Linked DNA regions of Danio rerio. The protein of the gene in region 1 purifies or fractionates together with the protein of each later gene. This does not show direct contact. Links are inferred from orthologs where the notes say so. Each region holds a gene or a part of one and is shown on either strand. Other genes may lie near its edges.

Region 1 (4,794 bases):
TGAGCAAATATCAATGTTAAAGGTTGTTATTTTTTTAAACAGGAAAAGGAAGAAAATGTCCAGTTTAGAGCCTTTTGGTGGGAATTGTGATAACTACGAGGAATCAAGATCTGGTTATTCCCAGTTTAGGAAACAGGCCCATCTGGTAAGTCACAGATATCCATATTAATGACAGATTTGTATGCTGAGATTATGAAAAATGTCCAGACTCGCTGCACAAACCTGACAGTAATGCTGGAATAAAAAGATTATTAGATTAAATATATAGAAAAGTCATTTCACTTTTGTATCTTCTGTAGCCGCTACAACTTGAGAAGAGGTCCAGTTCATCATGGAATAAAGGGAGTGTTTCCAAATATTCAAACTGCCACAGACCAGATGATGTGGTACCAAGTGCTAGAACAAAACTCCCATCATCCCGACAGACTGTTGATCATTACCCTACAGCTTGCTCCAGTTCCACAAACACCATGGAAAACTCTATTGGAAATAAACAGCAGATTAAATCTTCCTATAGGCCTCCAACTGCTGATGTAAACAAACACCTTCCCATCCAGAGCGAAAGCCCCTCTGTTTCTTCTCATCAGACATTTGGTGAATCTACAATTGAGAACAAGGATTCCAAATGGAGTAAATTTCTCACCATCGTCCCCACTCAGGACAAGGATGTGTACGATTATGAATCTCAAAATGGTAAGAAAACTGAGATCCATTATTTCACAAAAGCAGATACTGGTGTGGATTTTGAAGAGCGCCGATGTCCAGCAGATGAAAAGGACAGTGGCATTCTAAACAGACAGAAGGATGTTGGTGGAAATGTATCCTGTCCAACCACCAGCTTCACAAAGTCTGTAGGCTTTGAAAATGCTGTCTGTAAACCCGTACTGGTCAAGGCACCATATTCCAGCTTATCTTTAAACCCACTGTTTTGTACAGATGAAGACTTTGATGACACATTTTAGGTAAGTTTGCTTTCAAGGATGGTTAAAAATGTTAAAAAAGTAATATTTTCCTTAAAATAATAATAAATTGTTAAACTATTAGCATTGATCTACATTTGTATTCATAACTAGTCCTGTACATTTCAAAATACCAAAACACCAAAACACAAGGAATGTTTTAGAGAAGTGTTTTATTGTAGATAGAAAAGACAGGAATTTTAGAAGACCAACAGCGACATTAATCCGATTCCATCTGTTTATTCAAACTAACAAACCCTCCAGGTTTATGCTTGATCTAGAAACTGCTTATTGATTATGCAAACAGAAAATCCATAAAGTGAAGTTGCACAAATATAGATCTCTACTTAACAACCTTTACGTAATATTATGCATACATGAAAATAATGTTCTTTATAATGTCAAGTGTTAAGCTAAAGACAAACATTTTGCATATATAAGCCCAATGATGAACTTAACTATGTACTAGTCACCTGAGTAATTGATATTGTTAATATTTGTGGAAATTTATCATTTTAAAAGTATAGAAAGACTAAGTTAGAAAATAGGCCAGAAGCTTCAAATATTAAGTATGGCCCAGGTCTTCTGTATTCCTGTGCTCCACCTCTACTTCTGTTGTCCTGGTGTTTTGGAGTACTGGATGGTGTCCAGAGCACCACCGATGTCGTAATTCTTGGTGTGGAGCAGTCTGGTTAGCCATCCACCCTCATCGGTGAAACCCATGGAGAGCATCTGAGACAGAGACTCCACCAGCCTAGGGTCTGCATCTGCAGGAGAGCGCAGTAAAGTTAGAATTGCTTCAACTGATATAAAGTGATAGCCTAGAATAGAGAACATCACTGGGCATAAATAATTATACACTTTACCTTGAGGAAGGTGTGGGTAGAGAGCTGCCTCGCGCAGACCAGTGGGACCGTCTCTGGTGCTTGTGCCAGAAGCAGTATTTAGTGGAGCTGGAAGATCTGCCCCGTCCTGCTCTAGTCTAAGAGACTGCAGCTCTCCTGTCGAAGGATCCACCTCTTTAGCACTAAGATGAGTCCATTCCTCATCACTACATTGGTCTTTCTGCCATTTTGAAACAGAGAATGAATAAACGTTAACATGATATGTGGCCTCCTTCTAGGTTGAAAACTTGAGACGATCAGGCCTTTTACAGCTAAGAGGGTATCTGTTACCTTTGTTCCCTCACTGACGCTCTCTTCAGTGGCCTGACTTCCTGGACCAGAGCCTCTAGAAAGAAGCCCCACAGAACCACTGTCACTCCGAGCACTGGATGGTCCACTGGAGGCAGGAGGAGTTGGGGTTACTTTGGTCCGCTTTCCCTCATGCTCAACATCGATGTCCACATCTATGCCTACAAAGGAAAAATCACTTTTATTTCAGAGGTTTTGCCTAACATGCCAATCAAAGAAGTATCAGATTGTGTTGGAACCAAATATTTGGGAAAGACCAAAGCAGGCGACTTACCAAGGGGGCTTAACATGGCTGCCACTTCTTCTCCGATGTTCTTTAGGTACTCCACGTTAGCCTGAGAAGAGGCAGTAGCACCTATAAAATAATAATTAAAAAAAAAGAATAAAGTCAGGAAAATTTTGGACATGCCCCAATTCTGTTCCAGTTCCTCCTGTTACAATAGACCAGGGGTGTAAAACTCAGTTTTTTGAGGGCCACAGCTCTACAAAGTTTAACTTTAACCCTAATTAAACAAACCTGCTTCACACAGGTAAGTGGGCTTGACAAAACTACCTGTAGAAATCACACTCCATCATTTTGACACTTTAACCGACACTTGCATAAGACACATTACAAAAAAACTTTACATTTGAAGTGTGCTTTACACAGGTGAGTGGGATTGACAAACCACCTGTAGAAACACTCTTCTTTCTATAAAAAAACACACAACCTACTCAGTTTCAGGGTTGGAACTAATCTCTGGAGGGACTTCAGCCTCCAGGAGCTGAGTTGACTTCTGCTATAGACCCTTTTAAATGATTGGCTTACCATTCTCATTTGGGTTTTCAGGAGCATCCTGGTTTTGCTGCGCTCCAGATGGACCTGGCTGAGGCTGGTTTTGAGCCTGAGCTTGAGCATTTGCCCACATGCAGTGTCTCATCTTACGCCAAAATTTCCCACGAGGGAGCCACTGCACACAAAAGATTAATCAAACCAAAATATTCAGATCATTTGCAGTGTATTGTATGTAGTAAAATAGTGCTATTCACCTCAAACACGTTGGCCATAGGATGAAAGATGGGCAGGAGGGCATGCTCCTTGTGCAGGCCTTTGCTCTGGCAGGTGGGGCACAAGTCATAATCGGGGCAAACGGTGCACTTGTAACGGGTTCCAGCCACCGGCCCATCACACCCGTCACAGGTCACACCTGGGTGCACCATTGGGTGAGGGTGGTGAGGAGGACCCCCCATATGAGGTGGTCCTGGAGGCCCCATTGGAGATGGACCCATATGACAGGGACCAGGAGGGCTAAAGTGAGGTGTAGTGAACGGAAACCCAGGAATTCCATGAGGAGAAGAATCACGTTTGTGCTCTTTTCGTTCTGAAAAAGAAGGAAATAACATAATTGCTATTAATTGAAGATGTCTATTTGCAAAAGATCTGAGATATTCAAAGGCTTGTATGGTCAAAGTACGTAATGATGAATCCAAGATGAAAAAGTATTCACACTCTTTAAATCTAATGTCATCATTAGACGCTCTTTCCAATCATGTAATCTTTCCAACCTTATAAACTGTGCACATGTAAGTGGCAGGTGTTTTAGTTTTATAGTATTCTAGTACTCAAATAACAAGAGTGAATCCAAGAACCAATCAAAATCTTCACAAAAGATCCTCACTAGTATTCCCTTATGGAAAGAAAAAGGTTTTCAAAAATATTTACCCCCCCCCCCCCTATTTGAATAGGGCAACGAAATATTGTTCTCTACAAAGTTTTATTGAATCAATCTCTGATAGACTCCCCATCAACCAATCACTGTTTGCATAGTTATTAAAGATGCTGACGTCATCCAGAGCAACAAGGTTGACTACGCCTTTTGCTCTTAGCTCATGACTTCTCTCTATTCCTAAGTAAGTTTGTCTCAGCAGCTTGAGAATAAGAGAACGCTTACACATGGAAGTTAAGGATGAAGAATACACTTTGATATTACAAATACAATTACTCCAACTGCTCTGAGTTAATCTAGTCTTCATAACGCAACAACAATGTTTTCAAAGCCTACTAACTTGGATGCATTCAAAAAGTAGCATGCCAGAATTCGCTGTATCTAGTAATATTCCAAAGAATGCATCAGATGGAAAAATTTACCTTCCCATGAGATCATGGAAATGTTTTGAGAATGGCAGCGGAGCAACACAACTGGTAGATGTCTTTTGTAACTTTACGTCACTTCACAAATATAATGTGAATGCAGTCGGTGCAGATTGCATTCATACTATATAGAACACGCCTGAAGCTAGTTATTAAAAGCACCACCTACAGAGAGTATGTGATTTTGGATGCAGCCAAATATGATTGTTTGTTAGGTTCGCTCTGATATTCCCGTTTATGGTTTCCTTGTGACAACAAAATGGATTTGTAGATTCTATTTAGGCTTACATTTACACTTAAAGTCCCAAAGAGTTGCACCACCCACACATTATTGACACTTCACTGTGTGTACATTCACGATAGTCAAACTGCAGGATTTAAAGTAAGGCGGTAGCAAAGGCATCACAAAACAAATACAATGTGTGAATTAATTGTAAACCGTGACAATCACGAGTGAAAGTTTATAATTTGCATGGGATTTTAAGGCCTGTTACTCTGTAAACAATATAGG
Region 2 (5,852 bases), on another chromosome or scaffold:
TCCTTCTCGTGCATCTCACACCGAGTGAGAAGTCGAGAGCACTCAGCGCTGCCCTGTGTCGTTTTGCACATCATAAGCATACAATTATTTTATTTTGCCTCGAAAAAAGCTTTTATATTGCGATAACGCGTTACGACGCTACACTGAAATTAAACCAAATAGGCTGTATAAATGTAGCAATTTTTATCAATATGATGTGCATCGCATTTTCCACTGCATTTCAAGCGATTGTGTGGTGAGGCACGACTGGTTAACCAAATATGAACTAGTTCAGATTGCCTGCAGATGAAGACTCCTGACTGCACCAGTACTTCATTCTTAATTGCCCGCGTGAGAACTTTCGCGCAGGAATATCCGATGACCTGTCCAACAAACTTCAAGCTATTGATTTGATATCTCCGTCGTCGAGTTGTCAAAAATGTTTCTCTGTAAGCCTGGGTTCGGTTGTCAAGGTATTACTACGGTTGTGGCAGATTTTGCAGGAGGAAAGCATCAGCAATTGGACCAGAAGCGCACTAACTGCTTAGGCAGTGTGCAACGCAATCGTGGCTCTTGTTGCTGTGCAGAATTCGCCCTTTCCAATTGGGAAATTTTAACTAGTTCAGGTCAAGGCAGTAATGGTCAGGCAGTTAAAATGAATGCGCACGAACAGCTAATGATCAGTGCATCTGAATGTAAAGGTTTCACTGCCACATTGCGCGCAATATCCGCGTAACGCAGTGTATTTGGAGACTCGGGTAGCTGAACACACGTTTCGTGCTGTGAGCAATAAATGCAGAGGATCCCTTCATTCTTGGATGGGGTTGTTGCGGGGGAGCACTCGCGCTCTCTCCTAGATCAGCGTTTCTCCACAGATTACGTCAATACTGGCGTTACCCATCATGTACCCACATAGACGCCTAATTCATCCATTCAGTCAAGTGCAGTAACTACGCGCTTTTCATTTCGATCTAGTCATGGCTTTGCAGGCAGACACTAAAAAGCGCGTCCGTATTTTCTGCCACAAAGATGGTCCTCCATCACGCCACTTTGGTCGCATATGCCCGTGCCATGTGTCAGGGTCTTGACGCATCGATAACCAATCGCTACCGAGTCACGTGTCAAAATATTTTGACCTCGATTTTTCTTCCCCTGTTTCCATGCCATCAGGAAGAGAACGGCTTCTGAAGCGCCGCGCTCATTGGTCGAATCAGGGATGAAAGCGTATGCAATGACGTAATTGGCCACGAGAGGGCGAGAGTCCCAGTGATCTGTCACAGAAATAGGATAAGTGCTTCTGAATGTTTGTTTTTATGGCACATCAGTTCATATAACTGCATTTTAATGCATACGGTTTCATCCCTCGAATTCATCAACACGAAGTGTTATATGATCTCACTGCTTTTAACTGAAACTTTTCTGATCAGTTAATAAGAAATCTTAGTTTTGAACTTAAAGCACACGGCAATGAATGTGACATTTTCCAATCATCCAAATAACATATAATCTTACTCGCAGCATATTAGGTTGATTTCTGAAGGATCACGTGACATTTAAGACTGCAGTAATGATGCTGTTATTTTTATTGAGAGGTGATGACATTTTTCTCCTCTGTTTAAAACTTTTTTTGCAATTTGTTGCTGTAAGTACTGCTATAGCGTTTATTCTCAGTTCTGTTTAAAAAAAAAAAAAACTCCCCTGTGAATAATCATAATAAAGTAAATGAAAAATACCATGCTTGTTATAATGCGAGTTTATCTGTTTTTCTATTGCTACTGTATAAGTTTCATTGCCATTAAAAGTCATTGTATACTTACAAATGACATTACACCAAATACAGTTATTCAAGTATTTGATCAGTTCACTACTTTTAAGAACTCTTTTATAACACAAGTTTGAATAGACTGATTTGTGGAGGAACTGCAGGGACTTTGTGATTCAATAAAAAGCTAATAATGAAATCATAAAAATATACATTAATAAGCATGAAATGGAAATAATGGAAATAATGAAAACAAAAGCAGGTTTGAACTTAATCCTACATTAAATATTATTTAATGCATACAGAATTTCAATCTGAGTATTAAAAATTTTTTAATTTTTCTTCGAATGTGATCATTTAATCCAGATTACATGTAATCAGTATTGCACTGAGAATCGTCGAATGCTAGAAAATAATGAATTAATGCCAATGGTAAAATGATTAGACTCTAAAGCTTTTCTGTGTGAACATTGTGATGTAAATTATTAGTATGTTCGAGACAAGGGTCACCTATCTTGTTCCTGGAGGGTCGGTGTCCTGCAGAGTTTAGCTCAACACTAACCTCACACACCAGAACAGTGTTGGGGATAACCCATTAAAAGTAAAGCGAGTTACATAATAATATAACTGTTCCTAGTAACGAGTAAAGTAACGCATTACTTTTCAAAATGAAGTAATAATATTTGAGTTACTTATTTAAAAAATGTAATGCGGCTTACCTTTTAGTTTATTTTGCTTTGACAAAATTAAATGCTAAATTAAAATGAACGTAGTCATGTTGAATCACGCACTTTATGGGAGAATGCAGGAACAGTCCAAAATGAAAGTGGCAGAGCCTTACATATCTGTGATGGAAAATTCTCATTATTTTGAACACATGTAAGAACAGGAAAAGAGGATCATCTGAATGGGCAGTGATTTTACTTTTTAATAAGACAAAAAGTGCAAAAGTAGCAAACATGTTACTTTAAACTTTTATGATTCTGTGTATATGGCATGTCTCTGGGGTCAGGAAGTTTTCGGAGGATAATATCCTACCTTCATTTTTTTTATGTGTGTGTGTTTTTAAAGGAAAATGAAATTAATACAGTGTGTTGTTAATTGCAGGGCTCCTCTATTTTAAAAAAGAAAGAAATTAGAGAAAAAACCCTGCAAATTCTGAAAGTAAACGAAACAGAAACTTAAAAGTAACAACACATTGTGTACCCTAAAAAGTAACTAAGTAAAGCAACTAGTTACTAATTTGGAACCAATTCAATATTGCATTACTTTTAAAAGGAACTTCCCCCAACACTACACCTGAACATGTTAATCAAGCTATTGGAGTTGAAAATTCCAGGGAGTTGTGTTCATTTAGAGTTGGAGGTAAACTCAGCAGAGACACCAGCCCTAGAGATTGGGGACCCCAGATTTAAGATTTTTTTTTCGTTGTTAGATCATTTTTAGTCATTTGTGAGTACAAAAATAATTTTGTAGAAATAAATGCTTTTTAAATAGTTAAGAATTACTTAAGCAACTTGTTTTAAACATTTGTGTGTGTAAAAAGTTTCCCAATATAATAGTTTGACAGCAAGACTGGCCTTTCTGAGCCTGTTAGCGCCCCCTTGAGGAGGAATTTAGCGTGCGTCAGGAGAAAATCAGCATCAGCTAGCAATGATTTTTCCATGAGCTCCTCTCTATTCTGGAAGCGTGTGCGCTCTTCAGTCTGACGCGTGTAAGTGCACTTCCGGTGATCTCGGCGCTAGAATGGCCGCAGTGTTTACGTGTTGTTTGGGCTGCTGCGGGGACGGTGGACCGGGTCATGCGCCCCTCAAAGAAATGCCCACCGTTCAGCTAGACACGCATCACATGGGTAAGAGCCACTACCACTGATGTTCAGGGTCACAGAACACACATGTAATAGCGAAAAGCGGCGCTAGCAGACTGTGCTAACGTTATATCCTCAAAACAACGACCTGAACACGAAATAATAAACAGCTCTGCCATTATTGGTCTTTAAGAAAATGTTTTCATACATGTAATTTCACTCTCAAATCAGCTAAGTAGCCCAAACTACTCTGGATCAGATGCTAGATGCTAGCATACAGCTGTCAGATCCCAGTGTTTGCTTTGATTTTATTTTAATCTAGTGAACCCATGATGTGACTTTCATCTCAGTCTCGTTTTCTGCTGAAATCTCTGAAAACATGAAATACGTACCTTGTGTTGTAGCTGTGTGGGCATGAGAGTTTGCTCGGCCTTTTTTCCCAGGGACGGATGTGGTCATCGTGAAAAGCGGGAGGCGGATCTGTGGAACTGGAGCCTGTCTCGCCAACGCCCCTCTCCACCAGAACAAGAGCTATTTTGAATTCAAGATCCAGTCCACGGGTGAGCGCTTTCTCCACAGCTCTTACTGCACAGCACAGGTAGAAAATTGATCGGATGTTTAATTATGTGTCGAAAACGCTGTAAAGTAATCTCTTTTAGATTTGTGTTTTTAATGTCTGATATTACCCATGCAAACTTTGTAGTGACGAGTAGCTGTCAGGAGGATTCGTTTACCTTTTCGGAGAGATTACTGGTAGCTGACATTAAGTTTATAGTAAAATTTAGATACAAAACGTTTAGAATACAGTGTATACAACTACACACATATTTATAGTTAACTAATTTAATTAAAGCATTAGAAAAGAATTGTCATTGTAAAACAGGAGGTTTTTATTTTACTGACGGTCAAAGTCAAAATAACTTATATCTGACCCCTCCAGTTCTCTCTTTGATCGTTAGTAAGTTAATTAATTTTAGCTATAAAATGTAAACACTGCTTTTGCACGAGTAAACAAATTTAAACTATTTTAATATTGCAACATTTAACTGTTTTAGTGTTGTGTGTGTGTCTGTGTTTATATTTATACAACAGTTCTGTCTGGTTCTTGAATCTGATTGGCTGATAGCCGTGATATATTTAAGTAATATCAGCACCCGTAAAGCCCCTTTACCCTTTGTGTATTACTCCCTCCACATACAACCAGCAAAAAGCAGACACTACAGATCTAAAGTTTAAAAGATGCTTGCTCAGCTGTTTAACTGTCAGCTTATGATTTGAATCAAAGGCGGAAGAAAGTAGTTCCTCATAAAAAAGGGTTTTTGAGACTCTCCATGTTTAATTTAGTTTTTATATACACTATTATGCCGTCAAACTGTTTTATAAACACAATATCACACTCGTAGCAGTGCGATATGGCTGTATATCGGCACTGGTGGGGGCACTAAGGCACGCACGGCTCCCACCAGTGCCGATATACAGCCATATCGCACTGCTACGAGTGTGATATTGCTCATATATATATATGTGTCGAAAACGCCAGTGATGCCTTGAGACGGCATATTGTCCATTACATTAAAGTTATTATTTACATTAAAATATTTGTTTAAAGATGTTAGAAATGCACAGTATAAAATATTATGTACAGGAATTGCAAGTTATTTGATGAAGAAACTATTAATTTAGTTATTTTGATTTAGATACTACATATTTTTTACTTTTAATATGAAAAATAATGAAACCAATTAATTTTGTTTCCAAAAGCGCAAATTTATTTTTACTTTTTAATAAGAAAAAAGTTTTTTGGTTAATGTAAAAAAAGGTTGTGAGTAATGTGTGTTTTAATTTCAGTTGTTCAACGTTGATGTTCAATAAATAATTGTAAGTAGTAGATAGGGTATGTTTTAGGGTATTTTAAAATCAATAATGCACCCATCATTCAACTATCTCTTACTAGTAATATGTGATGTGAGCATATTTACTGTACAAAACTTGTCAGTGAAATATGAGGGCAAAACAAAAAATAAAATTAATATATAATCATTCATTAACAGAGTCAAAATGTTTAGTTAATCAAGATTTAAATTTTGGGCCAAATTGGCCAGCCCTACTTTATATGTCACCTGCTTATTAGATCAGTGTTTTAATCATGTATTTAATCTTCAATGTGTGAAGAAAATTAGTTTATTGTTGCATCAAATAATTTTTACTGAACATTTACATTTTTCTGAATTGCATTTAGTTTTTGTTTCATTTTGTAGTCCTAGTATTACTGGTTACATTTAATTTTAGTCTAAAACTTTGTGC

The links. Proteins that work in one complex are often made in the same cells at the same time.
Region 2: the proteins of sqstm1 (region 1) and trim13 purify together in Homo sapiens (affinity purification with western blotting; 3 studies listed by BioGRID). This does not show direct contact. The link is inferred for Danio rerio from reciprocal best matches to the Homo sapiens genes SQSTM1 and TRIM13.

The regions. Positions count from the first base shown.
Region 1 is NC_133189.1:19,143,383-19,148,176, reverse strand, and holds the end of sqstm1 (sequestosome-1), read right to left. Parts: exon of another isoform or gene 3,514-4,794; coding exon 3,182-3,513; exon of another isoform or gene 3,103-3,181; coding exon 2,961-3,102; exon of another isoform or gene 2,508-2,960; coding exon 2,427-2,507; exon of another isoform or gene 2,314-2,426; coding exon 2,135-2,313; exon of another isoform or gene 2,083-2,134; intron 2,025-2,082; coding exon 1,826-2,024; intron 1,727-1,825; coding exon 1,566-1,726; 3' UTR 1,116-1,565; downstream 1-1,115. Other genes in the region: mrnip (MRN complex-interacting protein), read left to right, coding at 43-145, 300-962. UniProt on the Homo sapiens protein: Molecular adapter required for selective macroautophagy (aggrephagy) by acting as a bridge between polyubiquitinated proteins and autophagosomes.
Region 2 is NC_133184.1:31,314,611-31,320,462, reverse strand, and holds the start of trim13 (tripartite motif-containing 13), read right to left. Parts: upstream 3,992-5,852; 5' UTR 3,941-3,991; intron 3,594-3,940; coding exon of another isoform or gene 3,488-3,593; exon of another isoform or gene 3,469-3,487; intron 1,977-3,468; exon of another isoform or gene 1-1,976. Other genes in the region: spryd7b (SPRY domain-containing protein 7b), read left to right, coding at 3,488-3,593, 3,992-4,108. UniProt on the Homo sapiens protein: Endoplasmic reticulum (ER) membrane anchored E3 ligase involved in the retrotranslocation and turnover of membrane and secretory proteins from the ER through a set of processes named ER-associated degradation (ERAD).